Caenorhabditis elegans: one gene and its partners. The protein of the gene in region 2 interacts with the protein of the main gene of each other region in a pairwise test. Each region holds a gene or a part of one and is shown on either strand. Other genes may lie near its edges. The genes, in order: Y69H2.3, pqn-71, W03G1.5 and sgt-1.

Region 1 (8,589 bases), 3.2 Mb from region 2:
CTGAAAATTTTCAGACTTTTTCAGCCTGAAATTTCAAAAGTTCTCAACAAAAAAATCAACAAAAAGATAGTGAAAATATAAATTTTTTATTAGACTGGAATGTTCAACCAAAGAATAGAAACAGAAAAAAATATCGATTTTTACAGAAAATCCCCCGGAAAATATTTAAATTTTCAAATTTTAGTAAAGCTTTGGCTTCTGGGCGTCACAATCGTTTTGGGTGACACATTTGCCGGAATTGTCGCGGAAAAAGCCCTCCTGGCAGACACAGCCGCCGCCGGTGCACACCTGGGGGCAGAATCTCTGGAAATTTTCGGTTGTAGGTTGGAAATCCAAAATTTTTGAGTTAGGCAAGCTGAGAGCTTTCGAAAAAGTATAATTATGACTGGATTTTGAGCCCCTTGAAAAAATTGGAAAATTGCGAAAACAAAATTTCCAAAAACAATTTTTTTTGCAGAACCTAGTCATGTTTATACTTATTTGAAAGCTTCTGATTCGTTGATTTCAAAAAATTTTTCAAAAACTAATTTTGCTCAAATCCCGCCCACTTACCGGCTCTTCATTACACTTGGTGTCTGAGCAGACAGTCTTGCAGGGTTCAAACTTCTCATTTGATCTGCACCGTCTGTTGATTGGCTTTTTGATAGGAGCTTCACATTGTGCAATCGGGTCGCTGAAACAATAATTTAGTGGAAAGAAGCGGGGAATTTGATCTACCATGGTTGCGTGAAGCATTGAACCTGGTGGAGGACACATTGGGATCCGACGAGGCAGGACGTGGAGGCGCAAGCTGGAAATTTTACGGATTTTCTAGCGTCGGACACTTCCAAGGTATCTATATTCAGATGCTTCAAGGATAGAGAAAGCAGCCGACACATCGCAGGTCCGCAGGACCATGTTAAGTTGCAGCGCCCGACATATCGTGGCTCTCAGTCACCTACCATTCACATGAATACACATCGGCATGAGCTCACAACCCTTCTCCACAGTTGAACCAATACATCCACTTGGCCTGACCATAGCGCACCCGGCCGGGGTCCCACAACGGGCCGTCATACAGCTTGGCCCGGCCTGACGGCGCTCACGGGGCTGGATAAGAGGCTTGATGAGTCTCAAGTCCTTTGGACGGCATGTTGGGATTGGGTTACTGAAATTGAAACTTTTTTTCTGCAACAAAAAAAAATTCCGGACTAAAGCCCTACCATGGAGCCCGGATACACGTGACCTGGACTAAAACGCATTCCTCGTTGTAGGGACAGTTCTGGGCGCGGCAATCTGAAAATTTCGACGATTTTAACTGAATTTTTTTCTGCCTAAAAACTCACAGTCCTCCTCCAAACACTGTGGCTGACGCTTGCAACCCACGCATCCGACGGGCTCAACCATTCCACAACCTCCCTTGAATCCGCATCTGACGTTGGCGCACGTGATCCCGGTTGGTGGGGTCTCTGGCGCGGTTCTCACTTTAATTTTTTGGGTGTTAGAAAACTCAAGGATAGGAATAAAAGTACTGAAAATCTAGCCGAATTCAACAGAAAGTTCCCGATTTCCCCAAATCCTAAAGCGATACCTGGTACACAAGTCGGCTTGCCAGTTGACATGGAGCATTGGTGACCGGTACGGCAGTCCACCAAGTTGCATGGGTTCTCGTCAGTGCTGCCTGGAAACAATTTATATGTTAGAGTCGGAAAATTCGTATATTTTGAGTCGCAGGGTATGCACCAGGATTGCGTCAAGTCATTACGTCGTTGCATCATGATTTTGGCATGAAAACAAGCTAAAATCCCGATTTTTGCGTCAAAAACAACCCCAAACCTTCAAAATTGATTCAAAAATGTGCCGAAAGTTGGCAGATTTGTTGAAACTCGCACGTTAAACCAAAATGTGTGCCAAAAAAACGTTTTCGTCAAAAAACTGCCAAAAAGTATGTCAAAAGCCAATATCCCCATAAAATTGGTCCAAAACTGTCCCAAAATGTGAAAATCGTTCCGAAAATCCACAAATTTGTCAAAATTCCATCCAAGTCCATTTCAGGACACCAAATTCTCAGAATTTTAGCAAAGAACCGCACCAAACCAGCGCCCGCGGACAGAAAAAATGATACCTGGCACACAAGTTGCCTGGCCAGTTGACATGGTGCATCGGTGACCGGGCTTGCAGAGTACCAAGGCACATGGGTTTGTGTCAGTCTTGCCTGGAAACCACATTTGTAGGGGAAAATCAAAAAATTCTGCTCAAAACTGCCCCAAAATAGGAAAATTGCTCCGGATTTGTCGAAAAAAGGGGTCAAGTCGTTTTTTGCACCGAAATTTTGGTCCAAAAACTAAAACTTTTGTTGAAAGGCCTAGATTTACATCAATTTTGATGCAAACCTGCTCATAATCGCAAAATTGTTCTAAAAATCAACAGCGGAGTCAAAAATGCCGCAAAAATTCGTTTCAAGACACCAAACTTGCTAAAACTCTCTAAAACTGAGCTCAGCTCAATTTTCTTAGATATTTTCATCAAAACTTTGCCAGAAGCCTATTTAACATGACTTTTTGCCCGAAAATTCACTCGAGACCCCTAAAGCCACTAGAACTAGGCTTCAGCCCTACTAACCAGTCGGTGGGCACTCTGCAAGCTTCACACACTGTCCCTGCCGGTTCCTAACGAGTCCCTTCTTGCAAGAGCATGCTTTTTCGCACCTCATCATGCACCTAACAAATGGCTGTGGATTGACAGGACATTTTGCCTCGGAGCACGAATTGTGACAGTCATTGGGCTCCTCATTCTTGGAGCAAGTCAGTGTGGAGCCTAGAATCACTGGCTCTAACTAGTTTCCTTTAAAACGGTACCCACCAGTAGCCGGACACTCGGTAGGGTTCACACACTGTCCCTGGCGGTTCCGGAGGAATCCCTTTTTGCAGGAACATCCGATGTCGCATTTCTCCATACAGTTTACCAGTGGCTGGGGCTTAACCGGACACTTTTTCTCGAAGCACGCGTTGTGACACTGGTTGGGCTCCTCGTTGGTTCCGCAGGTTTGAGAGCCTGGAAAGTTGCAGTGCGGTGGCGCAATTCTGGTGCATTTTTTCGTCCAATTTTTAGAGTACTTACCAATCGCTGGGCACTCGGCCTCCTTGACACACACTCCTTGGTTGTTTCTGACGAATCCGTCCATGCAGGAGCATCCGACTTGGCAGGCCATCAAGCAGTTCACCTGTGGAGCATTCTTTTGTGGGCACTTCTTCTCGGTGCATGGGTTGTGGCACTCGTTGGATACCTCGTTGACTGGGCATGTGAGGTTGGTGGCTGGAAATTGGTGGGGGGTTAGAGGGGTTTGGGGTCGGGGGTCTTGGTTTGGAGGCTTTAGGATGCCTGGTAGGTTTGTGCTTGGCACCCTTGAAGTCTGGCGCTGGTACCCACGATCTGGGCTCGGTACCCCAAGCTCTGAGCTTGGTACCCATGAACTCTGGGCCTGTGACCCATTAACTCTGGGCTTGTTACCCTTGAAGTCTGGCACTGGTACCCACGATCTGGGCTCGGTACCGTGGAGCTCTGGGCTTGTTACCGTGGAGCTCAAGGCTTGGTATTCTTTAACTCTGGGTCCGGCAGTCCCCGAGCTCTGGGCCAGGTACCCACGAAATCTGGGCCTGGAACCCATGAACTCTGTGGCTGGGGACCCTGAACTGTGGAGCTGGTATCCCTGAACTCTGGGCTGGGGACCTCTGAACTTTGGGCCTGGCACCCCTGAACTCTGGGCCTAAGATCCATGAACTCTGGGGGCTGGTACCTGGGTCTAGATACCCGTTTCGAACTCCGGGCCAGTGTCTGTAGGGCCTGAGATGCCTTAGAGAATGGGCCTTGTCAGGAAGATCTGATTTTCAAGCGGACCCCGCGCTCCAAAACATCAGATTCCAGGACTCCGTGTGCAGCCCGGCCCAAAATTTAGTCTTTCGGTATCCCCAAAATTTGGGGCAGGTACCCCCGAACTCTGGGCCTGGGACCCTTGAACTCTGGGCTTGGCGCCCACAAAGTCAGGAGGCTGATACCCCCAAGCTCTGGGTCTAGATACCCGTTTCGAACTCCGGGCCATTGTCTGTAGGGCCAGTGCGGCCTTAGAGATTGGGCCTTGTCTGGAAACTCTGATGTACTAGCGGACCCAAAATTTCAGATTCCGAGACTGCGTAGCCCGGCCCAAATTTTAGTCTGTGTCCCCTTCTAACCTGGTGGTGGAATTGGAATCGTCTCATTCGCCGCAACATTGCAGTCCTTCTGCTCAACACAACGATTATCCGAAGTTCTGCGGAAGAATCCACTGTTACACTGACATCCCATGACGCATTGCAGTGTGCAAAAAGTCTGCAAAAACCACGTTGTAAGCCGGAATTTGACAACAAAATCTGCTCACCGGAGTCGGAAGCCCGCAAGTCGGCTCGCAAGCCGTGCCACACGTCTGGAAGCTCTCGTTTTCTTTGCATTCTTGGTCTGAAAGGGGTTTAGGTACACTTTTAGGTTGGAAAAACTTACCTCTTGTCGCTGAAAGTTGAGCGTTTGCTCCGATGAGCAGAACGCTGAGCAGCACAATATACTGCATCGCTCCGAAACTCGGAAACTCTGGAAAACTATAAAATCACGCCATTTTATAGCATTTTTATGCGAACCAAAACATAAAGTTTCAGGAAAAACATTATAATAAAAAAACCAGAAAATCGAGAAATCAGACATCAAAAGTGCGGAAAACATTATGTTTTGAGAGAGAAAAGGAGAAAGTAAACAAAAAAAAATGTCTGTGTTTTGATGATTTTTGGGGTCAAAAGATTGGAAATTTTGCAGAAATTGCTGGGAAAAAATGGGGAGTTTAAAGAAAAACAACATTCGAAGTTACAGAAAACTTGAAAACAATATGCAAATATTGCAAAAAAACATGGAATTTTCGGGAAAAAACTATTGTTCAAAGTAAATATTTTTTGATATGTTTTCAAGTTTAAATATGTAGTTTGAACTGTTTTTTCCAAAAAAAAATTATAGAAAAAATCTATGAATTTCAGACAATTTTACATAGGAAAAATCAACTTTTCAGATATTTTTACATAGGAAATTGGAAATTTACGGCATTTTTTATATAGACAAATCAAATTTTGAGACATTATTTTACAGGAAACTCAAAATTTCAAATATTTTTACACTGAAAATTCGAAATTTCAGGAATTTTTACATAGGAAATTCAGAATTTCTGCCATTTTTCTACTGGAAAATCACTTTTTTCAGAAATTTTTTATATAAAAAAATTCAAAATTTGAGACATGTTTCGACTGAAAAATGTATTTTTCCGGTATTTTGAACTGTGAAATTCAGGATTTCGGCCACTTTTAAATGAATAAATGGAAATTTTAGACATTTTTACATAGAAAATTTGAAAGTTCAAACGTTTTTTTTACAGGAAAATCAATTTTCTAGACATTTTTAAACATGAAATCTGAAACTTCAAGAATTTTTTATATAGGAAGTTCAAATTTTTTACGTTTTTGTACTAAAAAATTCAAAATTTCCGGCATTTTCTGCTAGAAAATCAATTTTTCAGATATTTTCACATGAGAAATTCAATATTTCAGATTTCTATACAAAAAATTTGAAATTTAGGACATTTTATACTGGAAAATCATATTTTTAGGATATTTTTTCATAACAGTTTGAAATTTCATGCATTTTTACATAGAAAATTTGAAATTTCTGCCATTTTTCTACTGGAATATCACTTTTTCAAACATTTTTACATAAGAAATGTGAAATGTTTAGAGATTTTTATATAGGAAATTCGAAATTTCAGAAATTTTTTACATATAAAAATCGATTTTTCAGACGTTTTTCTACAGGAAAATCAGTTTTTCAGATATTTTTGTATAGGAAATTTGAAATTTCTGCAAGTTTTTGAAAATCATTTGAGAACTCTGCGTCTAAATTCCCGCAATTCTTGTAGATCTGGGGGGTAGATCAAACCGAAATGGGACAGCATGGGCAGTTTCACTACAAACTACAAACTACACTTGAGTACTAAAATTATACGACTAAATGACGAGACAAAATCAATATTTCGAACCAACAAAAAAATAAACGAAAATCTAACGAAATTCACAAAGTTGTAGTGGATTTTTGGATTAAATGAACACGCGCGAGTTGACTAGAAAAAACGGAAATTGAAGGGTTAATCCCCCAACCCGCCAAATCTTTTATTTTTTGATCTCCCACACATTTTTTACACGTTTTTTTTTGTAAATGATGTGTGGAGATTGGGATTTGTAGGGGGGTTTGGCGGGAAAATTGAATTTTCTGATAGAAAATTTGAGAAAAATGTAAAATTTTCGAGAAAATGGGGTTTTGGGACTACTTTTGGAGAAAAAACCGGCAAAAAAACTGAAAATTTGGCGGTTTTTGGCAGAATTTATTGTTTTTTGGATGTTTCGGGTTATAGGAAATGAAAAGTTCAATAGAAAAACTGAAATTTCTGACATTTTGCAATTAGAAAATTAAAATTTCAGACGTTTTTACATTGGTAATTGGAAATTTCAGACATTTTTGAATAGGAAAATTCTAATTTCAACCATTTTTATGAAGGAATTTTTAAATTTTTCTACAAAATTTTCGTTTGAAATCGACTATTTTTTGCCAAATTTAGCACTTTTTGAAGGTCAAAAACTCGATTTTCTCATCAAATTTTCTATGATTTTATATATTTAGAAGCGTAAATATTTGCACTGTGTCACCATTTGTTTATATGATTTCATGTGAAAAAGCTGGCTGAAATCAAAGATGAAAAGCTGATTAAATAAACATTTTCTGCAAGAAATTTGGGATTTTTGATGTTAATTTTGAAAAATATTGTATTGGCGGGGTTTGGCTCTTTTTGTGGTGAGACCCTTGGAAAATGTTTTGGCGGGAAATTCAAACTTTCTGAGAAATAATACTTTGGTGGGAAATTCAATTTTTCTGAAAAAAAAAATTTTTGGTGAAAATTTTTTTTGGCGGAAAATTCAAATTTTCTGAGAAAATTTTTTTTGGCGGAAATTCAAATTTTTGGAGAAAAATAATTTGGCGGAAAATTCAAATTTTCTGAGAAAAATTTTTTTGGCGGAAATTCAAATTTTTGGAGAAAATATTTTTGGCGGGAAATTCAAAATGGATTGTTTCTAGAGGGAGTTGGTCAGTCGGAGTAAAAAGGAAAATATGCAGTTTGGACAGTTTTCAAATAGAATTCTAAAATTTCAGACATTTTTAAATTGGAATTTAGAAAAAGCTGAGTTTTTTACACTAGAAACCTGTAATTCACTTTATTTTTTTTCGTTTATTTTATTTAGATTTTTTCAATTTTCATTTCCTATGTTTTCCAGGAATTTCAAAAATTTTCTAGAAGGAAATTTGGAATTTCCTGCTTTTTTATAAAGTTAGTTCAAATTTACAGACATTTTAGATAGGAAATTAGAAAATTTTGACATTTTTCAATAGGAAATAAGAAATTTCAATAAATTTACGTAGGATAATTACGTAGGAAATTTAAATTTCCAGACTTTTTAATATGAAAAAATTACGATAAAAACTTCAGATATTTTACATAGTAAATTTAAAATTTTGGAAACTTTAACACAGGAAAATTAAAAAATTCTAATTTCAGGCACTTTAAGATGAGAAATTTAAAATTTCAGACAGTTTTTATAAGGAAAACCAAAACTTGAAAATTTGGGTTTTTGGACAATTTTACACAGGAAATTGAAAATTTCAGACATTTTAACAAAAGAAAAACAAAAAATCCGGCCTTTTATATATAAAAAGTTCGAAAAACCGTAGTAAAAATTAGAACACAAAATACCAAAATCTGCACATTTTATACCCAAATATCAGGTCAAATTCGTCATTATTTTCTTTTGAATTTTCGCATTTTTTTGAAGCCCAACCCACTCGGCCTTGAACTGAACTACGGGTGGTACTCGGCGAAACTACCGAAAGATCAAAAGTAAATGGGTGTAGTGATGACAATAATAATTGACCGAACAAACTTCATCGGTTATGTCTGCTGCTGTGAGAACAAAGAGTACGGGGCTGACTGGATATATGACTCATGAAACATTGTGTGACGTTGGTAGCTAAACAGAGTTCACTAGAAAATGAAGTATGTTTTTCTAAACAAACCAGTTCCTAACTGGTGGAATTTGGTAAAAATAAAAAATTTTGAAAAAAATTTTTTTTTTGAAATTTCGAAAAAAAATTTTTTTGAATATTTTTGTAAATTTTCAACCTGGCCTTATTATGTAAAATTTTCAGGGTTGTTGAGTATATTTTCAATAAAAACCCAATAGTCAACCGCCAAAATTTGGCTGTTTTTAGAGAGTGAGCAATTTGTGTTGTCGATTTCTGTTAGGCTGGTTTTTTTTGGACATTTTGGCCTTTTTTTAGCTATAAATGGACGAAAATTAAATGACATATAGTTTTACAAGTCAAAATAATAGTAAAACAGAACAATTTAAAAAAAATTTTTTTTTGAAAATTTGGAAAAAAATTTTGGAAAATTTTTTTTTGAATTTTTTGAATTTTTTTCTAAAATTTTTAACTATT
Region 2 (7,850 bases):
TTTGAAAAGTCGAGAAATGTTTTGAAAATATGCATTTCTCTATCAACTTTCATAGATGCGAATAAAAATTCAAAACAATTTTGAGGTACTTTTCAAAAAAAATGTTCAAGAAGAATTGAAATATTCTGAAAACATCGAAAAATCGGATAGCGGAGAGCGTAGGCACATTCGGGCGGGAATTTAAATATTCACTTTTTTTTTACAAAATTGAAAAATCAAATCAAAAATAATTTATCTGAAAACCCAAATGATTTGCGTAAACATTTGTTTGGTTAAGATTTGGCAGACCATGTCAAGATGGAGTTAGAAATTGGTTCAAGAAGGAAATGGAAGAAAAATATGTAAAAGGATGGAGAAAAATGCATAAAAATGTCAACGACTTCAAGAATTGGTTGACATGTTCTTTTCAAATATGTTTGCCAAAATAACCATTAAAATGTTTTTGTATTCCCAAAAAAGGACAAGGAAGAATTTGGAATTGGCACTAGAATAGGTGAGGTCGACAAAAAAAATCGAAAAAGTGTCACAGTTTGAATTTAAATAATCTGGAAAATAAATAATCTGAGAGTATTCAATAAGAAAAACAGAAGGGAGGTCACTTTGAACAGCGAAACACGAAACTTTTCGGATTTTTAAATTTTTTTACAATTCAAAAAATGCCCCAAAAAACGGAGCAACTTATTCAAGAACTAGTTTTTTATATTCAAAAGCTTGATCTCTCTCATAGAATACGAATTCGTTGTCTTCTTATTTAGTTTAAATTCCAAAAGTTTCAATTCAAGTGTGCTGCTCCCCTTCAAATTTATTTCCTTGTCCCTCCGTTATCCTCTTACCAGAACTACTTGAAAAAGTCACTCGAATTCTAGTTTTTCACAAAAACACCCCGGGGTTCTGCAAAACGATTTATGGGAATTTTTGAAAAGACGGACCACCATTTGAGAGAGGAGAAACAAAAAAAGTTCTGCTGAACAAATTGGGGAAATGGGTGGGAGTGGACGCTTTTTTGGAGGGAAACAACTACATAAAAAACAACTAAAATTCAGCTTAACTGGGAGTTGATTGCTCCATTTTTTTGCGGGACATTAAAATTTAAAGACTCGAATTTCGCGAAAAATTGGAAATTCCTTCGAATTTACGAGAAATAAGTAAAGTGCTGAAATATTTATCCCCAGAAAAAAAAGTCCAAAATCACCCGGCACACATTCAAAAGTAAAAACTCAATTTTGCTCCGCTCATAGAAATTCGGTGAAACGCGGAAAAGTATTGTGACTAGTTGCAGAGTCTCAACAAGTCATTGACTTTCACTAATTGAGTAAACGAGAACAAAACACATTGTAAGACAAAGAAAAGGCCCCGTCACATTTTTTGAAAGGTGTACTTTTTTTTGGGATTTTGTTTTCGAAACAATTATGTAGATGTCTTGAAAATATGAAAAGCTACTTGTTGATGAATAATTTATGTAAATTTCAGAAAAATATGTCGCTCTCAATTCGAAGTCTATGTAACAGAAAAATTGCAAAAAATAGTTTTAAAAGCAAAAAATAATTTGAAATTTTCATTTAAAAAATCGAAAATTTCCTACCTAAAAATATACATTTCAAAATTCAAAAAAATTACTAATAAACTTTCCCCTTCTTTTCATTGAAAAGTGCGAAAAAAGTTGGACATCTATTTATATATATGTAGCGATATGCATTTGAAGGGGTAACTTTTTGTCTCTTTTTCTCAATGCACTTTTCACCTCTTCTTGCTCTCACTCAACTACTACGTAGTAGCAGAACAAACAACAGGGACCAAGTGGGTCGAGTTTTCGATTTTTCCTTGATTCTGAAAACAAAAATTCGAAAAATACTAATCAATTATAAATTTTAAAACATTTTCGGTCATCTTCTATAAAATCTTATCAACATAATTTCAATACAACAATAGTTTTCTTAATATTTCTAATTGTTTTTCCGGGTCTCGAAATGATTATTCCTGAAAAACAGAGCTCGAAACTACAGTACTCTTTAAAGGTACATCCACCTTTTTTCCATTCAACAAAAAATGTTGTGTGAATACCAGGTACCAAATTTATTAGCTTCAGCACTTTTGAAAGGACCCATTTAACAAAAAAACTGGTAGTGAGAAACATTTATTCATCATTTCCTAGATTTACAGAAATACAATCTTCAAGAATTTTACTTCTTCAAACAACACTGCCCGGAGACATTTCCGCACGGCGAATAGTTTTGTTGACATCCGCACTGACTATTTTGCATTGGTTGACATGCCATTTGGGCCGGCTGATTACAGGATTGATTGCAGGATGTCGAGCAAGCTGGAGCACACTGTTGGGAGGCCGTGGTTCTAGTTTGGCACTGCTGTTGGCATTGTTGCTGGCACTGGGGAACACATTGGGAGGTCTGTGGGGAGGCTTGCACGTAGATGGTTATGGTTTGAGTGTTGCTGTTCTGGCAGGAGTTCTGACACTGCTGGCAGTTGGTGGAAGTTTGTTGAGAGCATTGTGGAGCACATTGTTGTTGGCATTGAGTTTGTTGGTAAGGGTTGTAGTAGTTTTGGTTTTGGTACTGGTTCTGGTTGTACTGATTTTGGATCTGGTTTGGATTTTGGTACTGATTTTGGTTCTGGTACTGATTTCCTTGCTGATTGTACCCTCCATACTGCATTTGATTATACGGATCCTGATTATTGTACATCATATTTCCTGTGGACCCACATTCCTGCTGGCACTGCTGCTGACAAATTGGCTGGCACTGTTGCGCGGTCTGCTGTTGAGTACACTGCTGCATGCATCGGTTCTCACACTCTGGAAGACAACTTTGCGACGCTGGAATTGGTGTGGAAGTCATCGGATTGCAAGACGATGTCTGGCAGGATTGCTGACACGTTGGCTGGCATTGAGTGTTGGTGTTAGATTGGCACTGTTGACTGCAGGACTGTTGACAAGCAGGCATGCATTGAGACGTCTGCAATTGATATTGCTGGCTGCTGGCGCAAGAGCATGGAGTTGAAGGTTGGCAGGAGCAGCTGTATTGTTGTGAGGCCTGCTGGCAGGAGCAGGTCGGCTGAACCGATTGAGCACATCCGCAGGAGGCTTGACGGGTTTCGCGGATTGAGGAGGCCTGAAATCAAATTGAGTTGAGAAACACGTCGTTAATTGGAATGCTTCTATCAATTTTAAACGTCACTACGAGATTTTTATCGGCCCACATTAAAACAGGGTCGGTCTACTTCCATATACGGGAATACAGATATTACTCTAAAAAAGGAGATTTTTCAGTTAATGATGTCGAAAATTGAAATTCGAAGAGGTTCAAAAACAGTCGTTAAAGCGCCAATTCACATTTCAAGTAGTTTTGTTAACACGAAATTGCGAAAAGAAAATACAATTATTAGGCTTTCTCTCAGCACTTAGAAATTATAAATTTTCAAATTCCTTACAATTAGTTTAAAATTGAAAAACTAACCTGAGCCACAGCCAAAGCAACTGCAAACAATATAATCACACAACGCATCGCTCAATGGGATTCTGTGAGTATACCCCGTGTAATTCTTGCCACTTTTATACTTTTTCATGTTGTTTACCAACCTACACTTTTGTTTCTAGTTAGACACGTTTTTTTTTCTTGAAAATCCTAATCAAAAGTTTACAATGTTTGCATTTTTCATTGACCCGATAAATCAACTTATCTTTTGTTTGTTTGTTGAGCATGATGGAGGAAAACTGGTTCTTAATCAGAGTTATTCATGTTTGTTCAGTTATTTTTGAAATAAATATATAAGTTTGAAGTAAAACAGAATTAAATTCTCAATTTATTATTCATTCCCCATAATCGTTTATTTGCATTACACTCTCCTCTGGCCAGCGCTATCTCTGTTCCTCTCAATTGTGTATACCTCCGTGAAGCATGTCTCTCGTGGCCGAATGGTCTAGTGGTATGATTCTCGCTTTGGGTGCGAGAGGTCCCGGGTTCAATCCCCGGTTCGGCCCATTCCTTTTGAAAAAAATTGAGAAAGAAACAATTTTTCAACAATGAAAAAAAAAACAAAAAAATCAAGCCACCTAGGGGACTCGAACCCCTGACCTTAAGATTAAAAGTCTCACGCTCTACCAACTGAGCTAAGGAGGCCACGGCGGCGGTGTTAGAATTGGTCTTTAGAAAACGGAATCGGGAGAGAATCGAGAGGCGCGCCTGGTGGTCAACTAGTACATCTAGTTGGCATGGAAAATTTTAATGTTTTCAAACATAAATATGTATTAATTGAACAAATATTTGTGAAAAATTTTGCATAAAAAATTGCTGTATAAGGTGTTACAACGGCTTTAAAGTTTAGTTTTCAATTATTTTTAATTGAAAATTTGACGCAAAAATGTTTAATTTCATCTTTCTAGTGTAAAGTTTATATTCAGTAATTTTTTTTCTCGATAACATAACTGAACTGTGTTGTTTCAAATAAAATATCTTCTATTCAGCAGATTTTCAAAACCGAAAAAAAATCCAGAATTTCAACACATCGATGACCAATTTAGTCTCATTTCCTGCCGTCACTTTCCCTCATTCCCGATTTTCTCAGTTTTCATTTCTGTTTCCCCTCCTTAAAAAGCGTCTATTCAAAAGGGATTTCCGTCGATCATAACCAGACGATATCGCTTAAATCGATCTAATAATGTTGGAATGTCCATTCTCCCCCCTCACCCGTTTCCTCACTTCTTTGCCTCCCTGTTGTTCTTGTTTTCTCCCGTATTGTTTTCCTAAATCTCGGACAAAAACTAGAGGCCTAAAACGTGGGCCTGATGAGGCCCTTACTCTCATGTTTCCCCGTGATTTTCGCGGTTTTTGGGCCGATTATTGCGGTTAAGCCCGTATGGAAGACGCCCGTCTCTGAGCCGAATCCAAATGCGAATCTCGAAGTTTTAAAGGGACACTCGAATTTGGCGAAGGTGAGTTTTTTTTTCAGAAATTGTTTTTGTAAATTCTGGTTTCTCTCGTGAAATAGTAGCATTCGTAAAACTTTAATTGAAAAATAAAACGCTCCAGCTGAGGCTCGTGTGTTGAACTAAACATTTTTGGTATATTGAATTTTAAAACAGGGGGACTAACTATAAGATTTAAAGGGATACCGAGAAATCCAGTTTTTTTTAATTTTAAAAGTATTTTAATTCAAACAACTTGGAACAGCTGCTCATGCCTTACTGGTCACACATTTTCACTCAAAAAACAGTAATTGTGGTTAAAACTCTTAAGAGCAGTGACGTCATAAATTGTCTTACACGGAAGGTGTCAAAATTTAAAAACTTTTGAAGCTTTTGAAATTCGGTTTCGACAATGTTCAGGCACCGGTAGAAAACCTGGTAATTTTTCGATTGAGTAAGACAGTTTGAAAAACTTCCAAAAGTCGTCAAGAACCCTATATATACCAAGTTAAGTAACCAAAAAATTTCCAAAAATGTCTTTGTAGAAGTTTTCCAACGTTTCTCAATTTCCGCGAAGTTTTGAGGTCTCTTAAATATCTGTAATGATTTGTTCAAAACATTATTTCTCAAATCAAACACTTCTATATTTGAAGTAAAAATACATAAACTTTTTCTATTCCAGCGTGCTCAACCGAACTACTACACACGTCCCGAGCAGGTCTCGATTCCGGAATACCGTCCACCTCGTCAACGTCTTCCACCGTTACCATCTCCAAAGATCTCATATCAACAAGTTCCTCCACATCAACTAACATCTGGTGGAAGCTTCCGACCATTCGCTTGGGTTGGCCCTCAACCAAAACCCGGCAGCCCTCAAACCAGTTACTATGAGAATTCTCCAAACAAGGGCCAATTTCCAAAGGGATTACCTCCATTGCCACCAAATTGGCAGCAGTATCCAGTGCAGATGATATGGATTCCAGACACGCCAGGACAAACTACTGGAGCGTACCCGTATTATCCGGGACCCGCTGGACCGCCCGTGCCAGTTTCAACAGGAAGCTATGGCCTGTATGGACCAACTGTGACAACCGAGAAGCCAATGGAACCGTCGGTCAATCCGGAAACGTATACAGGTATTTAAGGAAGAAGCGAGCTAAAATAATTGAAAGAATTTTTCAGGAACCGTCGCTCACAGTCCCTCTGCCAACCCTATCACCACTACTATACCTTACGAGCCCCCAAATCCATATGGAGGACAGACTCAGGTGTCCCCGTCTTCAAATTCCTATCCGGATTCAACAGTCTCCACTACTTCGAGCAACACGGAATCCTATGAACAGCCATCTACATCTCCCTCAGAAAGGCCTAGATCATCAACTCGGGATTTTGAAAATGGAAATGGAAAAACTGTAAATCCAACCATCCGCCCAGGACCTCAAGAGCTTAGTGGTGGAATTGGAACTTCTTCCAAGCCTAGACTGCCTAATGACGCCGACTACACTAGAGATGTAGAGACTGGAAGCTCTGAAGTTACAACTCCGTTTGGTAGAAACACGGAAAGCTCTACTCCTTCTAAAAGCCCAGGATCAACAAGTTCATCCGACACCACTCCGTCTTCTAACGAAAATGGGAAAGAGACAACTCCATTCGAGATGACCAAAAATCCATTCAACGATCTTAAAACCATCCGACCAATATATCTAGGTTCAAGTTCTGACGAAGAAGATGACGAACCGCTAGAGGATATCAGCAAGGCAACCGATTCCCCACATTCTTCAGAGAAATCTCAGATTCCTGGATCACCAGGTTCACAGATAAAGAATCCATTGAAACCCTCTTCAACGGAATCGGAAACTATTGGACCGGAATCCTCCGAGTCAGAAGACGACGGAGAGCGAAGCACGCCAACTCCACAAGAGGAGGAAGAGGAAATGATGAGGAACTTCTTCCCAAGACCTGTCAGTGCTCAAGCATATCAGCCGCCAGGACATCAGCCGGAAGATTTTACGAGTCATATCAACGTGAATTTCAAGAGACCAAAAGGCAAAGGAGGATGTGTAACACCGCCGTGCAGAGGAGTGGATACTGATAAGGTGAGGTTATAAGGGCTTTTGAACATTCTCTAAATTTGAAATATTTCCAGATATCCCTCTACAAGCCAGACCGTGACAATGAGGACTCGAGCCCGACACTCGTGATCAGTAACGCTGCAAAAGACGATGCATCGCGTGCCGGATACAAACCAGCTCCACCACTGATCAATCCATACATCCCTCCACCACCGCCCCCGCATCCTGAAGAAGAGTATGCCACGCCGTACACCGTTCCCCCCGGCAAACAACCATTCCCACCATTTGGAGAAGGACCTGCGACTCCGCCAAGAAGCCTGATCCCGGCGCATAATTTCCCTCCTCCAAGTACTTTCCCACCTGATGAGGATTACCACGAGACTACGGTAAGTTTTGGCACAACTACATATCTTCTAGCTCAGATCTACTAAAATTACAAATTTTCAGACAGATACCGTCCGTCCAACTGCTCAGACTATTTCTACTAGATTTACTGCCCCGACAACTACCACAACATCAAAGCCCGTTGAATCCACAACTACCGAGGAAGATACTCCGGAGCATGTTCCACCTGCAATTGTTCATATGACCGCGTCGACGCCAAGTGGGAAGAACCCTCCAACCTATATTCCACTGCATCCAGAGACATCCCAGTCCACACCAACTCCAACAACATCTGCTAGATCCACGAGACCGACAGCTTCAGTCACAAGACGACCCGAGTTCCCAACTAGAAATACTCCACCATTTGGAGGAAACGTGCCAAATGGGCCGTCTTCTACGGTACCACCTGCCAGCAATCCAACCACTGAAGGATACTTCACACAAGTCTTCACTGACCGAGAGAAGACAAATTCCGG
Region 3 (7,869 bases), on a different chromosome or scaffold from region 2:
TCTTCATATAACTTGTTCGATATGTCAATCAAATGATCATTTGTGTTGCAGTATTTCTTCAAAATAAAACGAAGATCAGTGTTGTTTTCCTTCAACAGCATCCCAATAATCTTTGCAAATCGTACGCGAGCATATTCGATAAACGTAACATTTGAGTCATCTGTCTTTTTGTTGCAATAATTCGAATATCTGATGCCGTCGTGGTATACAACATTAAGGAAAACATCCCCGGTCTCGCAAAACTGTTGGTACTGCGGAGGGGTCGGAACAACCGATATTCGTTTGAGTCGCCTTAATAATCCAAGTTCATAGCACATTTTCAAGTTCGCTTCTGTTCGAAACTGGTGATTTGTGTGTAGACGGAATGCAGCTTCGGTTTTGATCTCTTGAAGAGCCGACATTCTGTAAAAACATTCTTGCTCCCTATTGTGCTCTAATTTTCTCACTTTCTCATGATGCTCATGCCCAGTCCATTGTAAATTTCCGGAACTAAAGTTCTTTGAATAGTGTGATAGAAGTACTCGAACCATTGAGTTGACAATGGAAATAAGCTACCGTACAGCTCAGTCATTCTTGCAAGGTGGTACAACACTTGCTGCAAAATAGTAATGGGTGTTAGTTGACGACAATTTCCATACATGTACTTTGATCCCATTCAACATTTCCGGTGCTCGTTTCACAATTAAAACTTCGATGGATTTGCTGATTTGTTCAATCTGTAAAGAATGGTCTACTTTTTTCAAGCAAAAACAATAAAAACTAACTTTCAAATGAAGAGTCTCGTCAGTGATTGATTGGGGTTCTATGCAAAGACGATAAAGTCCATGAATGCTGAGAATGATAGCCGATGATACACCTCCAAGTTCACCGGAAAATGCAGCTGCTACAACTATCGACTCGAAAATCTAAATGTGTGTTCACTTTGCAGAAATTAGCTGAACGAATCTTTTTACCAGTGCTTTCTCAGAACCAGTACACTGTGAAGCTTTGCCGGACAACGAACGAAATCGAGATGGAAGCGAAGGTGTTGATGAAAAATCCACCGATTTTGACGGGAACAAATTCCATTTCCCTTTGGAGAATAATGCTGAAAAATGAACACGTTTCGGGAGCATTCGGGCATTACTAGTGACCTGTATTGATATTGCTTAAAATTCCTTCTTCAAAACAATGAAACAAGTCAACCGGGCATAGATGCATATACAAAACATGCTTGTGGAAATGAGAATGCTGGTTTCTTTGACGAAGGCCATCGTTCATAGTCGAAGGGCACGATCCGGTGAGATTTTCGCGTACTATAAAGAGGTGATTATTTTTTTAATAATAGTTTTCATGATGCTTACGTGTTGTATACTCATCATTGATTTTGCACTCAGTTTCCTGGTTTAAGCAAAAGTTGCAAGAACCTGATGATCGGAGTCCACACTGATTGTATACGATTCGTCGTGCCTGAAACCAAACACTTGTTTTCAAAATTCTGAATTTTCATCTCACTGGATCGTCATGATTGGCACACGTGAGATCCGCTTTCCAGGCCACTCCCTCTGAGAAGAAGACATGTTCGTCCATTTGGAGCAGAATCCATTGTGTAAGTCTATCATGAATTTTCGTTGTCGGATTTTTGAACCCGATGAATAACGCTGCTAAAATGAGGGCCTGGGGAGAAGCTCGATGAACGTCTTCGAGATCCAAATTGAGTAAACTATATGGCCAAATGTTCTGACTGAAAACCAATTAAAATTTTTAGAGCCATCAAACTAAGATACTTACTTTCCATTTTTATGTACTTTGATTCCGTCGAAGCTACTCTCGAAGTGCATCCACATTTCATTATCTGCCATTTCGCTGAGTAGCTTTTTTTTAAAGATACCCTTATTTATTGGACTGGAGCTATTATATCCTTCCAAAATAGTTGTTTTAGTCTTCATCATGATATTCGCAAAACTATTCAATATAACTTCGAGCCATTTCTTGAGATCTCCGAAAATTAGTTGGCATTTCTCTTGCATATCTTCACATTTGCATCTGTAATGATATATTTCAGAAATTTAGTTTTATAATAAACCTACAGTTCGATATTCTGCGCACATAAATTACATACTTCTACAAGTGTTAGATGAGAGTCATTCAGTAGCAATTTTCTGAGAATGCTATCTTGTGAAACATTGTGAAAATGTAGATATCTCAAAATGGCTGCTTTCGAGTTGGTAGTAGTGATGAGGAAAAAAGTTGTTCTCAGATTTTGATCGCTCAGAGAACGACACAGTTGACTTCGCTCGTCGCATAGAGAAGAATCGCGTTGAGTGTCCAAATAAAATGACTCATCGGTTTCAGCTTCTTGATCGATCTCGTAATTTCCCACTTCATCGACCGGATAACGAATTTCCCCGTCTTCATCAATGAATCCTGTTGTTTCTTCGTCTTCGAGTTCATCTTCTACACCATCTTCCTTTTGTCGTTCTTCATCTGCAGTTGTTTCCGTCTCGAAGTTATCGGCCTGGGTGCTTGAATTTGATGGACCATTGCTTCCCGGCTGGTGAGAACCATGATTATTGTCCGTCGGGTCTGAAAGTAGTTATTTAGTCCCAATAAAATCATTTAAAAAATTTACCTAGAGCAACTATTGTCACGCTTTGAATCAGAAGACTCCGGGGTGCTGAATTCAAAATTCTTCGAACTGTTGTTCTTGGATTTCTGGCCATAATCCTCCGTTTCTAGCCGGGAATGATACAAATCTTTGAAAAACACACTGGAATTAACAATTAACACATATTGATAACATATCACACAAAAAATACAATAAAAAAGGTCAAAAAAATGAAATATGTGAAATACGACGAAGAAAAAACAAAATAAAATCAATAATCAATGTTCTGCTAGTTAGCAGTGGGTTTCTGCTAATTAGCAGTGCTTTTTAGCTAATTAGCAATGACCTGCTAATTAGCAGTGGTTCTCTGCTGATAAACTATGGCTTTACTAGCTTTTGCTGATTAGAAGTGATTTTCTGTCGCTCTGCCGTGACTCCAGTTTATCTGAGTTTAAAAAAACATTTTTAAAAATTGTCTAATTTTGAAACGTTATTTTGAAAAACTTGATATTTTGGTAATTAATGATGAATTCGCGATTTTATCAGTAAATGCGTAAATATACGGCAAAAAAATAATCTAAAAACTGTGAAAAGCTCGGCAAAAAGTAGGGTTGATTCCAAAAGAAAACATTTTTTTTCCGAAAGAAATTAAAACATTTTTTGCCAAAAACACGAAAAAGCTTTGTGTAATTTTAAAAATTGTGTAATTTTGAAACGTTATTTTGAAAAACTTAATATTTTGGAAAATTGTACACCTTCTCATAATTTTTTAAAAGTTGAATTTTAGTGATTTTCAGCAAAAAAAAAACGGAAAAATTGTATTTTTTGCCAAAAAAACCAGAAAACACAGAATACACAAACTAAAAAATGTATGTGCGATTTTCAAAAACTGAAAACATGCCAGAAAAACAAAAATAGCCAAAAAATCCATTTTTACCCAATAAAAATTCCCATTACCTGACCCAAAAAATAATCCATTAAAATTTCAGGTCGGAATCCGCAGAAAGCGTCTGAAAGGTGACGCGTTCATGTACAAGAAGGTGTGCGAGAAGATTCTTCAAATGGCGAAAATCGAATAATTCCTATTATAAATATTCTTGTTTTCCTTTTTCTTAAATTTTCCCCCTAATTTTCGCCCAAATTCTCGTCTTCCTGGGTTTTTGTGTGTGTGTGTAGAATATCAATCCCGTTATCATTATTCTTATTATTATTATTCTTATTTTCTATTGTTCCAAGTTGTTTTCGAAACTGTTTTTTTCGAATTTTTCCCAATCGTGTAATATTTTTTGAATATTCCTCTCTCCTCTCTACTAATCCCTCGAATTTAAGTTTTTGTTTCGTATGCTCTTCTTATCCAATGATACCCCGCCTTTTTTTGGTATGAATGATCAAGATCTCTTTCAAAAGTTGTTTTCCCGCCAGCCACAAATAATCCTTTCCCCCCCCCCCCCAAAAAAAAACACGTGCTTTCTCCACTACACTAGTGAGGTTGCGCAAGTGTTCAGCGCCAAAAACTCTAACTCGTATTTGCTCTAGCCGTCTTACTCTCACAGTGACTCCACCCATTTTGCCGCTGATCTCACGAAAAACAAGTGGCCGAGTATAAAAAGCGAGAGCGGATGCAGTTATTTTGTCATATTGAGTCGCTACTGATGGCTCACGGACATCATCATCACCACCGCCGCGAGCGCCCGGGGCGCGAAGTTTATTTCAAACTTACTGCTAAAGATTCGAAACAGGCTCATCTATTCTCTATCAAGTATGAGAAGGTCGCCGGATTGCTCGAGAAGCTCAAGAAGAAGCTCGCCGAGTTCAAGGTCGACTTTGCCAACATTTTCTGGATCGATCGGGAGAAGGATCAGATTTTCCTGCAGACAGCCGAGGATCTGAAGGAGGCGATCAAGTTCTCGAGGTTTGTGGTGAAGCTGTACGCTGAGGGAACTGGTGAGAAGGATCTGAAGGGTCTGAAGAAGGATCTGAAGAGCGAAGACGATGAGGATGATCGTCGCAGCAGCAGCTCCTCATTCTCGAAGGTGTCTCATGGAAGATCGGAATCCGAGTCGTCTTCGTCAGGATCGGAAAGCAGCGATGACGAAAATGATCGCAAGAAGAAAGGTGAGCGTTCTGGAAGTTCCTCTTCTTCTTCTGGATCTTCCCGATCTCCATCTCGTGGAAGACGTGGAGGACGTGGTGGCCGCTCAGGATCCAGCTCGTCATCATCATCTTCTGAATCACGATCTCCCGGAAGACATGAGGAGCCCGAGAAGCAAGGAAAGAAAGAAGAGTTGAAGCAGCTGAAGAAGCAAAAGTCCGAAGGTGTTGAGCATCGTGGAAGATCGGGGTCACCGGGAGGACGTCGTGGACACGGTGGACGCCATGGATCCCGTTCTGGATCTCCAGGAGGTCGTCATGGTCATGGAGGCCACGGAGGACATGGATCACGCTCCGGATCTCCAGGTGGTCGTCATGGTCACGGAGGCTCAGGGCATCATCGTGGAGGTCGTCATGGAGGCCACGGAAGGCATGGATCGTGCTCCGGATCTCCACGAGGTCGTCATGGTCATGGAGGCCACGGAGGACATGGATCACGCTCCGGATCTCCAGGTGGTCGTCATGGTCACGGAGGCTCAGGGCATCATCGTGGAGGTCGTCATGGAGGCCACGGAAGGCATGGATCCCGCTCCGGATCTCCAGGAGGTCGTCATGGTCACGGAGGACGCCACGGCCCACCACATTGTCCAGGACGCCATGGAAGACATGGATCCCGTTCCCACTCTCCTAGAGGACACGGGCACGGAGGACGTCACGGGCCACCACACTGCCCAGGGCGTCATGGACACCACGGACCACCACACCATCATCACCATGATGGACGTTCTCCATCTCGTCACGGCCACCACCACCATCATCATCATGGATGCCGTCCATTCCCACCGCATCATGGACATCATCACTTTCCACCATTCTGGCCACCATGCCCACCACCACCACCATTCTGGCCTCCACATCGTCGTGGCGGTCACTGCCATCACCATCATCATAATGGACATCGTTCGTTCTCCCCATAAACTCTTAATTCTGATGCTTATTATACTGTGCATAATGTATATTTATTTGTGATCAATAAAGTTGTAAATAAATAAATAAAAAAATCGTGTTATGTTTTTTGTTTTTTTTTCAGATTTTCAGGTGAAATAAAAAAAAGAGAACATTGATTCTTCCAGGAAGGCAATTGCCTAGGCAACTGAACAAACATGAGTTCCTTTCCGTCTGTTTTTTTCCAATTTCCACCAGACTCCTAGGCTTCCCCAAAAGGCCAACTGATCGCTTCCAAAAGGCGAAGACATCTCGACCACTTTCTGTTGATCGACGAACAATTTGAGAGAGAGAGAGAGAGAGAGAGAGGAATTGACACAATGAGTGTGTAGTTTGCTTTTGTTTGAGACACGCAGAGTTTGTAGTATTCGGTGTGGTTTATGCTTTAGAGGTTGCAAAATATGAAATCGGAGTAATGGAAAATTGAAATATGACGAATTGACTAAAGTGAAGTTGGATGTTGGTTGCTATTTATTAGTAACAAATTTCGATATGAAGATGTTAATTTAGTGGCAGTGTTATATAAATTTCAGTCTACTTCGTAGGTTCAAAATTGTTTGCATGTGTACCTAGCAGACAAACATCGGTCAAACGTACTTGTAATAATGCTGTAATACTGGTGTTCCAAGGCTTTTTTCGACAGAAAAAATGTTTTCTGAAAATGTTCGAAACCATTAAAAAATTGAAAAAGGACACTTTTTAGTGTTCGGAAATCAATTTTGAGTCTTCTAACAACAAAATTAACCATTTTAGAGGAGTTTCAAAATTGTGAATTTTAACAACATAAATAGCCCAATTTTGGTACCTTTTAATAGTTTTTGATGGGTTAAACCAAGATTTTCTGAATTCAGCATACCTGAATTACCAGTTTTCAACAAATTTAGACAACTTTTTATTTATTTTTTCCTTTTTTTTTTCAGCCATCCTTTTTTTTGGTCAAAAATTGTTTTTCTGAAACTCTTCGAAACCAATATTCTGAAAAAGAACAATTTTTAGTGTTGTTGAGTGAATTTTTAGGGAATTTTGTAGAAAAAAACTGAAAAAAACTTTTAAACAAATTTGACCGTGGTAGAGTTGAACTGTAATTTGGATGCTAACTCAAAAACGAAATGATTTTTAAAAACTATGCATATGAAAATTTAAAGCCGAAGTTTCTCAATCTACTAATATTGTTAAACTTACCATCATTTTTATCAGATTTTTATGGTGCAGTAAAACATTTGTAACAAGCTTTTGAACATCGGACTTCTATTCCAATTACTTGTTTGAGCTTCGATTTTTCTAGCTTTGTTTACCCGTTGCATAATCTGTGCTCATGTTATATGAGATACATATACATGTTACTACTCGGCAGTTTGCTACTCCTGGCGCGCGCACGTTTCGCAGCGGGCGCGCCGACGGAGCGCGCTAGTAATAATGTCTCGAACGCCCGGCGCACTCTCTGCGCGCGCCCCGCGCATTTGATACAAATTTTGTCACGGCTCGTTCCCCATCCCTTCATTATTTTATCAAATACATTGGCAATGTGGAATACTGAGTATATTTAGATTTAACTTTATTATAGTGAAAAGCTTTAAAAATTTAAAAACTTCAAAATTAAAAATTTTTCCGTTGTGCAGCAAGTTCTCTTCTTCCTTTGTTGGAGTTCCTGAAGTTCTTTTGATGGATCTGAAAAATAAAAAAGTTAATTTCACTCATTGAAACATTTTTCATGTTCATTTGAAAAAGAAAAAAAAAACTTACAGGAATCAGGGAAATTAAACAACTCCGAAAATCTTCTTTTCAGAGGCCCCTCGTGCATAGGCCGTGCGGAGGTGGTGAATCCAATTCATCTCCATACCTTTGCTGCTTTTCTGAAAATATCAAATTATGTTTATAAATAATTGCTATGTATAAAAGAGGTCAAAGACCTGGTTGTTATCAAATTATTACTCATTTCGAGGAAATCGTTTTTATAATCTTACCGATGAACTAATTCGTTTAAATCCTCTGAAGATGTGATTCGTCTCAGCATTTATGCACTTTCTGCAAATTTTTTCATTATTATTTAATTGAAATTTAATAAAAAATAAAGAAAATGTGTAAAGTCGAAAAAAAAACTGAAAAAACACAGCTTGAAAAATTTGGCAGAGTTGAAATCTCGGCCGCGGCCGCGATCTGCGGAGGATGCGCGCACGGATCACGCA
Region 4 (7,931 bases), on a different chromosome or scaffold from region 2:
TTTCCAGTCATGATGAGAACTCAACGGCTGAAATTGTAAAGGAGCAGCTGTGAGTATCGATTTTTGATTTTTTGGTGAAGAATTAGATGGAAAACTGATAGTAAAAAGTGTTCTAGCGGGGTTGAAAACAAATGATTTTTAAACGAGTGTTTTATCGTGTCATAATAGAAGCTGAAGATTCCGAAGATATAGAATTTGGAGAACCAACATCTGAATCGGAATATTTTATTTGCTTCATTGGTTTAGCCAGTAGATCATCTTGTGGTGAAGCTTCTCGTTTGATTGCAAGATTTCTGGAAATTCAGAGTTAATTTTAGTTGTAAAATATAGGAAACTTACTCATTATGCTCGTTGACTGAAGTTTCGAGTTCTGAAATTAGATTGCATTGTAGTTATGGTAGTTTTAATTTTTCGATTTTCAAGAAACTTTGCAGCTACAAAACTCACAAGTATTCCACAATTTTTCCTTAAATTTTTCAAGATTTATAGTGCTAAAAAAACTTGGTATTTCTATGAAAAAATTAATATTGCCACATTTTAGGAAATTGCAAAATACTTCTGGGTACGGTAGCTTTTAAGTTCTAGTCGTGTTGAGACCGAGTACCGTATTTTTATTCGAAATCACCGAATTTCACAACTGGCTATTAATGTTTTCGGAGCAAAAAAAAAACGTACCATCCTTATCTCTAACGAACCAACGTCCACCACTGGGACATTTGTCCCATTTAACATTTAGAAATGACATAAGCCAATCCCATGCTTCATCATCCATCTCTGCCATTCGTTCTCTATCATGATGAATTCCAGTTTTCAGACGACGATCGTATTGTTTATCCAAGACTTCTTGCCACATTATTGGTAACTGGAAAATTGGATTGTATTTATTTTTAATAGTTTTTTTTCTTGGAAAAATCGCAATATTTTAGTTGAAAAATATACATCTTTGCGTTTTCTTATGGAAAAATTGGAAATTTTCTGATAATTTTTTTGGGAAATCTTTAATTTAAAAAATCTAATTTTTCATGTATTTTCAGATGAATAAAACTCATTTTTCGTCTTTTTTCCCCGGGAAAAAACGTTTTTGTTGGTGTTTTTTTTAGAAAACGCGGTAAATCAAAACTCACATCTTTTAATAAAATTTTCTTCGCTGTTCCAAATGGGAATGTGAATTTGTTAGCCATTAATGAAACACGGCAATAAACTGGATTCGGTTGCTCCAAGTGTGGATCCATTCCGAGAATTACTGTTAGATATGTCAGCATTTTACGTTTTCGTCCATGATATGTGTGAAGTTCGCCCAATAGTGGATTACAGACCTGAAATAATTCGTTTTATACGGGGTCTGGTCTCGACACGAAAATTGTCCGTTAAGTGAAAACTGGTGTGCGCCTTTAAATAATACTGTAACTTCAAACTTTCGTTGCTACGGAATCTTCAATTTTTTCGAATTTTTTTGCAGTGAATTGACGAGTTCATGTGTTTTTTCAAACACAAGTTGTTAGTGAAAATCTATGGAAATCGATAAAAATTCTGCATAAACGAGAATTTGAAATTACAGTACTCTTTTCAAAGGCGCACACCTTCTTTCATTTTACAAAAATTTGTCGTGCGAAAATCGAAAAAATTATAGTGTACCTGAATAAATCTCTCTAAAGCTCCTTTCTTAAGTAAAAAAAGAAGAGCAGGTTCTGGATGTTTCGCACTATGATCTTTAATTGAAACACTTTCAACTTGTGATAATGGAATTCCAATATTCAATGGTTCCTGGCTGTCATCAATCGAAAGTCGAATACGGAAGCAGATTTTTTCCTAAAAAAAATTAAATTTATTTGATCATTTTTAGAGTTTTTAAAACACAATAATGCTCGTCACGCAATAAATTTTCTACTTACAGCTGAATTGACTCGAAACGTCAGTGAAGAATTAGGGAGAAGTGGTAGAGGAACGTCACCGAGAAGAATTTGTTTCGGGTACATCTGAAAATAACTTTTAAAAGAATTTAGATTGACAGAAAATTAAATTCCTACATAATTTCTATACGTTGGATCCAGATTACGACATTGTTCAGTTATGAAAAATCGAATCCTTTCGTGGCGTTGCATTCTGAATTTATTTTCAAATTTGAGGTTTTTTACAATTTAAATTGTTTAATTTAATACTAAAATATTTCAACAAAAAAATCAAAAATAAAGAAAATGTGAGTACTCCCGCGCTATCTTTCGTTTGGGTGCAAATCGATAATTTCGTGTTGGAGCGCGTTTGCAACCAGTGTGTCTGTGATGGAAAGAATATTTCGACAATATTTATTATTCGTGAAAAAAAAGAAAATTGACCCAATTTTTTGTTGGTAGTTAAAACATGACCATCTAATTAAAAACAATATTTCGATAAGGCTTGAATCGGGGGCGATTATAACATCATCATTGTAAGGGGAAATTCTGCGAGAGAAACTAAAAAAAACGAGTAACCATAAGCGACTTCGGCTTTTTCAAATCACATGAGAGCAGAAAGTAAAGACGAGAGAAGGGGAAAGAGAGAGAGAGAGAGATAACGAAATGGAAATTCGTGATGCGGAAGGAGATTGGCGGAAGAGATTATCTATTGTGGTGGGTTTGGTGGTGGTGCTCCTCCATCGGCTCCGGGGCCGAATTGGCGTCGAAGATTTTCAATAAGTTCTGGATTGGTCTCTTGCATGCGAGCAGCCATTTGCTGGCCAGCAGCCATCAAATCAGCGATTGATCCATTTCCAGACATCATGTTGTTGAACTGAAAAATTCAATATTTTAGAGCATACATCATCAAAAAACAAGCAATAATAATGAAAAACAATTAATTTTGACGGCCACGTGCATTGCCATTTCAATTAAATCTTTTATTCCCGAAAATTTGATACTTACCATATCAGAAAGTGCTGGATCGCTCATCATCTGTGAAGCAGCTTGCATAAGTCCTGGCTCGTTCATAAGGTTTTGCATGTTTGGCATTCCTGGCATAGCCGGCATTCCTCCCGGTCCTCCTCCCATGGCTCCCAAAAGCCCAGCCAATGGATTGGCACCTGGTGCCGGTCGCGAGCTTTCCAGCTCCTTCAATTTGTCTTCAGCAATTTTCAAATTATTCTTGTAACTCTCTTGATTTGGTTCAAGCTCCAAAGCCTTCTTGTATGCCTCAGCGGCATGCTCATATCTGTTTTGGCAAGAATATGCAAGACCCATTCTTCCCCAAGCTTTTGAGTAAGATGGATCAAGGGCAAGAGCTGTACGACAATCTTGGATGGCCAAATCATATTGTTCCAGGCGGCAATAAGCAGCAGCGCGGTTACAGAAGTAGACTGGATCTCTGTTGAGCTTGATGGCGGCATTGTACTTTTGAACAGCAGCTTCAAATTGGGAGGCTTTCATTAAATCGTTTCCTTCTTCTTTAAGCTTGTTAGCTTGAGAAATATCACTATCGCTCGGTGTTGGAAGAGCAGATTCTCCCTCTGGAAGTCCTTCGGCGCTCTTGAAAAGTTCGAGAATTGGGCGTGATGGTTGGAAAGCGTATGAGGCATCATCAAGACCAAACGAGTGTTCGAGACATTGAATTGCAACTGAAATTTTAATATATCTTAAGCTAAATTTATAGAAATAAATAGGAAAAAACCTTCAAGAGCTTCCGCTTGCTCGGCAGTGGCCTGATTTTGTGAAACCTTCTGGCGGATAAACTGAAGGAATGAGACAACCAAATTTTGCTCGTCTCTGGTCACAATTGGCGAAGCAGTCGGCGCATCTGGAGCAGAAGGCTTGATCTCCTCGGACATTTTCTTAAAAATAAAAATATATTTATTAAATAATTTTATATTGAAGTTAGAAAAGTAATATAAAGTTGAATTGAAAATCCATGATAAAGCGCAGATTAAAATATTCTTAAAAATATATAGTTCAAGAAATAGAAAATGGCATCGCTTAAAAATGGCATTCCGTGATTATTTTCACTCGGGAATCGCTCGCCCACTATGGGGGAGTCTACGCAAGGACAACGCAAGGACAAGGACAACATTCTAATGGAATGGAAACGATTGCCCGACTGCACCAATTCTAGTTCGAGCGAACAATGATAACTTTTGTATTCTATATTCCTTCACGTCTCCCAGCGAGCGTAATAAATTATTATTATTATTAAAAAAAAAGAGTATTAATTTTAAATGCTTAACTTAAAATCTGAATTTAAGCGCTCTATTTGCGAAATTTGGTCAATGAAGAGTGAAATATTGTAACGAGAATAAAATTGAAAAGTTTTTGAACAACGAAGAGTAAAATTAAAGATTGCAACGTCATTTTATTTCAGAATCAGTGCAAAAATTTCTGGAAATTGCGGGAATAATTTCATCAGCCTCAAAGGCACATGTCGGCCGTCACTTTGATGTGTCTCGCCACGAAAGTAAACCAAGTTCAACTGAAGAGACGGCAGACAACTTGACAGAAAAGTTGCAGCAGCGCGTAGAGTGTATTGTAAAGTTGAGAGAGTGCTAGAGAAAAAAAAAGAAGCGAGAAGCTGACTGGTGGCCCCAGGTCTCCTTCCAAAAGCCACTCATTTCCCTCTGTCGACACCCGTCAACTTAAATTTTTTGGGGCCAGAGACGTCTGGGTACCAAAAGTTTTATTTCAAGCTTGTTTTATTCGTTTTTGTTTCAAAAAAAAAGTGTGATAGTCAGGAGAACGCTGCTGTGAAATTTGTTGTTTCTGTAAAAAATGAAAAAAACAAATTGAAATCAAGCAAATTTTAATTTATTTGTTCGCAAAGTCCTTTTTCACTATGTTCCAAGCTTTCTTTTACCCAAATTTTCCGTTCGAAATGTGTTTTTTAAATGAAAACTTGTTCAAATTTGCGGAATTTTGAAAATACTTGTATTTGAATAATATTTACCCAGCCATTCTGCCTGTCATTCTTATTTTATACTGTTCAACTCCTCCCAAACTTTCACTATCTGTTTCCTAAATAAATAAAACTATATAAAATTTCGCACATTTTCAGTAATTAAACTGTCACTCTTATCATCTTCTTCGTCTTCCACCATTCTACAACATGTCTCAATCGGAAGAACAGAACAAAGACATTCCATCATCTTCAAATTTTGGAAACCCAGCAAATAATGGCGTTAATGTGCCAGATGCTCCTGCGCGACGACTCTTCGATAACACTTCTGACGAATCTGATGTTTCACTGGATAATGATGGTAAGAATTCGAATTTTTCATTCAGATTGAATAAAAATCAATAATTTATTTTTTTCAGACAAAACCGGGGCTGAAACTGACGGTTCCTCTTCAAGTCGTGGATGTCTGAAGAGCGAGAGATCTCGCAAAGATCATGCCAGCACGTCATCAACAAGAACTGTTCGTGCACCACAGCAGGTAATATATTTGTTTTTTTAATAAAAATTATCAAAAAAAAACGATATGAAGACATAAAAACCATGAAAAGTCGATAAAAATACCACAAAAGTTTTAAGTTACAGTAATTTTTAAAGGCGCACACCCGTAAATGCGGTTCTCGGTATCGACACGACAGTGTTTCGTAGATAACAAACAAGTGTGCGCCTTTAAAAAGTACAGTATTTTCAATCTCTCGCTCCTGCAGAATTTTTTATCAATTTTTTCTACTTTTTCTCACGATTCGTTAATATTTATGTGTTTATATTGTTATTTTTGGTATAAGAAACATTTTTTCGCAAAAAAACTATGAAATAAATTAACTTTAAAGCGCACACTTGTTCGTATTTCACAGAAATGTATTTTTGAGGAAAAATTGCAAACTAAAATTAAAAATTTCCGCTTTTCACCGCAATAATTCTAAAAATAGCCTCTAAATCTCATTTTTCCAGGTTTCTTGGTCATTTGGAGCTAAACCTGCGACTCCACACTCTCAACCGCCTGCCGGACTCAAAAAAGGTAAATTTCCGTTTCTTTTCTTGTTTTTGTGTGTCCCTCGTCATTGTGACGTAAATTGCTCTACGAAATTGGAAGAAAATCACTATTTCCGGCTCGTTCACCTTTTGGCAGAAGAAAAACGCTCTTTTTTTCTTCACATATGTTTTTAATGTTTAAACAAACACATATTTGCTTATTGACTCCAGATTTTTCAATCTCCAAACATCCGATCATTACAAATCGGCTTAGAGTTTTAGAAAATAACCAAAAAAGCAATTCTGCACCTGCTCAAGGCTATAATTCGTTTCTAAATTTGGATATCTGTGCAAATTATTAATAATTTCTTTTCTACTTTTCCCCACGAGATGAAAGTAACATTTTCGGATAATGGTGAGTCAAAGCTCAAAAACATCCTTTTAGTCTGATTGGGATTTAGTTGGATTTGAAAATTTAAACACGAGATTAGTTTTCTGAAAATGTGAAGACTTTTAACATTGATGTTATCTATTTTATTTCAATTTTAAATGACTTTTGTATTACATACAACGAGTCTTTGTCCTGTAAAAATGCTTTTTATTGGCGTTGAATGACATTTGACCATCTGACAAATAATCATAGATTCATAAAAAGATGAATAATAATTCTGAATTCTCGATTTTGTTTTTCTTTCGTTTGTGAACTGAAAGTTGAGTTATCTAGATCCTTTTCTATTGGGCAAAAAGTGCAAAGAGGAAAAAGCGAAGACCAAGAAGAAAATGAAAACAATTTAGAAAAGTGAACAGGTGGTCGAATGTTGCCAACTGTCCCTCTCTCCGTTTTCTTAACTTTCTTCATTTTTTCATATCTCCATCCATCGCCGAATTATTATTTACGTCATGATGACACCTCAAGGGTTCGGATTTCAAAATAAAAAGTTTCAAGAGTCATGTGGAAAAGTTGTGAATGTTTTGATGGACTCTGTGGACCATCTTCTCTGGGGTTTTCGCATCCCCAAACGACTTGGCACTTCATAATTTTGAAAAAGTGTAATTAGAATTTTGTTTATAGTCCCATACCGTAGTTTTTGCTTTAAAATGCCAAAAAAAAATTAGCTGGCGTGGTTTCTCATTTTGGAGAAAATTCAAGTGGAAACCCTAAATCATTTTTGTAATTCTACTTTTCAAGTGAGAAAAAGTTCATCTTTGTCATAAGGATTCTCCCTTGACTTGCAGCCGTTTGCAACTTCATCACAGATACTTTAAAATGTATGACCTTGCCCACTTTTATAGCTAGAACTCTACCAAAAATAATGCCTCCATCTCCTCATTCTTCCATCTCCTTCACCCACATTGTTTGAGTTTCCTCTTCTCATCAGTTCGGCTGTCCATTCGTCCACCCGTCCGTCCGTCCGTCTCCGGCTAATCTTCTTCTGCTATTTCGCATTCTTTTTGCCTCTTCTATGTTTTTTCTTCCAATCTTTCTCCCTCGTTGCACTGGGTTTGGAGGCGATTTTCCACCATTTATTTTTTTGTTTTGTGTTCCCCCTCAGCGTATATTGTAAGAGCGCCGTTCAATTTATTTGTGTTGTTTTTTTTTGAAAACAGAAATTAACTGACCCATTTCATCTTCATCTTCAATCTTTTCTCTGTAGTCGTTTACCCCGTTGAGGTTGTCTCATCTGTTTTTCGGTGTAAAGTCATGTCATCATCACTGTGACCTTTTCATTTCTCGTCTCGATTGGTAGAGAATCGGATCTTGTCGCTTTTTTTTCTTCGAATTTAACTTTTGCTAAAGATTTTTTACACTGCTGTCTGATCAACACCCAAAAAGCTAATTGTTGATATAATCTCTGATTCATCCAATTTTCTGTTTGAAAAGTAAGAAATTTCTCATCAATAACCTAAAAGTGCAATTTTTAAGGTCGATATAATCTAAGATCACATAAATAGTATACATCATCTATCTTGTTCAGTTAAAAATTGAAAAAAACCAAATTTTGTAGGTGTTTGTGAGAAAGAGAGTGTTCTATTTGCTTACCTTGTCACAC

Evidence for each region.
Region 1: the proteins of pqn-71 (region 2) and Y69H2.3 interact in a two-hybrid assay, tested with the Caenorhabditis elegans proteins (one study listed by BioGRID).
Region 3: the proteins of pqn-71 (region 2) and W03G1.5 interact in a two-hybrid assay, tested with the Caenorhabditis elegans proteins (2 studies listed by BioGRID).
Region 4: the proteins of pqn-71 (region 2) and sgt-1 interact in a two-hybrid assay, tested with the Caenorhabditis elegans proteins (3 studies listed by BioGRID).

Annotation. Positions count from the first base shown.
Region 1 is NC_003283.11:18,659,518-18,668,106, forward strand, and holds the start of Y69H2.3 (Follistatin-like domain-containing protein), read right to left. Parts: upstream 4,610-8,589; 5' UTR 4,580-4,609; coding exon 4,513-4,579; intron 4,471-4,512; coding exon 4,394-4,470; intron 4,345-4,393; coding exon 4,209-4,344; intron 3,295-4,208; coding exon 3,100-3,294; intron 3,034-3,099; coding exon 2,842-3,033; intron 2,797-2,841; coding exon 2,602-2,796; intron 2,195-2,601; coding exon 2,105-2,194; intron 1,661-2,104; coding exon 1,571-1,660; intron 1,464-1,570; coding exon of another isoform or gene 1,326-1,463; intron 1,276-1,325; coding exon of another isoform or gene 1,203-1,275; intron 1,148-1,202; coding exon of another isoform or gene 942-1,147; intron 791-941; coding exon of another isoform or gene 718-790; intron 674-717; coding exon of another isoform or gene 553-673; intron 304-552; coding exon of another isoform or gene 181-303; exon of another isoform or gene 70-180; intron 1-69.
Region 2 is NC_003283.11:15,461,369-15,469,218, reverse strand, and holds pqn-71 (Prion-like-(Q/N-rich)-domain-bearing protein), read right to left. Parts: upstream 3,543-7,850; 5' UTR 3,519-3,542; coding exon 3,471-3,518; intron 3,126-3,470; coding exon 2,181-3,125; 3' UTR 2,119-2,180; downstream 1-2,118. Other genes in the region: rocf-1 (ZP domain-containing protein), read left to right, coding at 4,799-4,945, 5,601-6,054, 6,101-7,014, 7,065-7,376, 7,438-7,850.
Region 3 is NC_003282.8:502,855-510,723, reverse strand, and holds W03G1.5 (PB1 domain-containing protein), read left to right. Parts: upstream 1-4,239; coding exon 4,240-5,655; downstream 5,656-7,869. Other genes in the region: pig-1 (Maternal embryonic leucine zipper kinase), read left to right, coding at 3,577-3,666.
Region 4 is NC_003280.10:4,899,998-4,907,928, forward strand, and holds sgt-1 (SGTA homodimerization domain-containing protein), read right to left. Parts: upstream 3,800-7,931; 5' UTR 3,797-3,799; coding exon 3,640-3,796; intron 3,587-3,639; coding exon 2,898-3,586; intron 2,767-2,897; coding exon 2,599-2,766; 3' UTR 2,291-2,598; downstream 1-2,290. Other genes in the region: R05F9.9 (MSP domain-containing protein), read right to left, coding at 152-293, 340-370, 676-862, 1,125-1,316, 1,636-1,809, 1,893-1,976, 2,028-2,102; btbd-10 (BTB domain-containing protein), read left to right, coding at 5,062-5,212, 5,271-5,389, 5,860-5,926.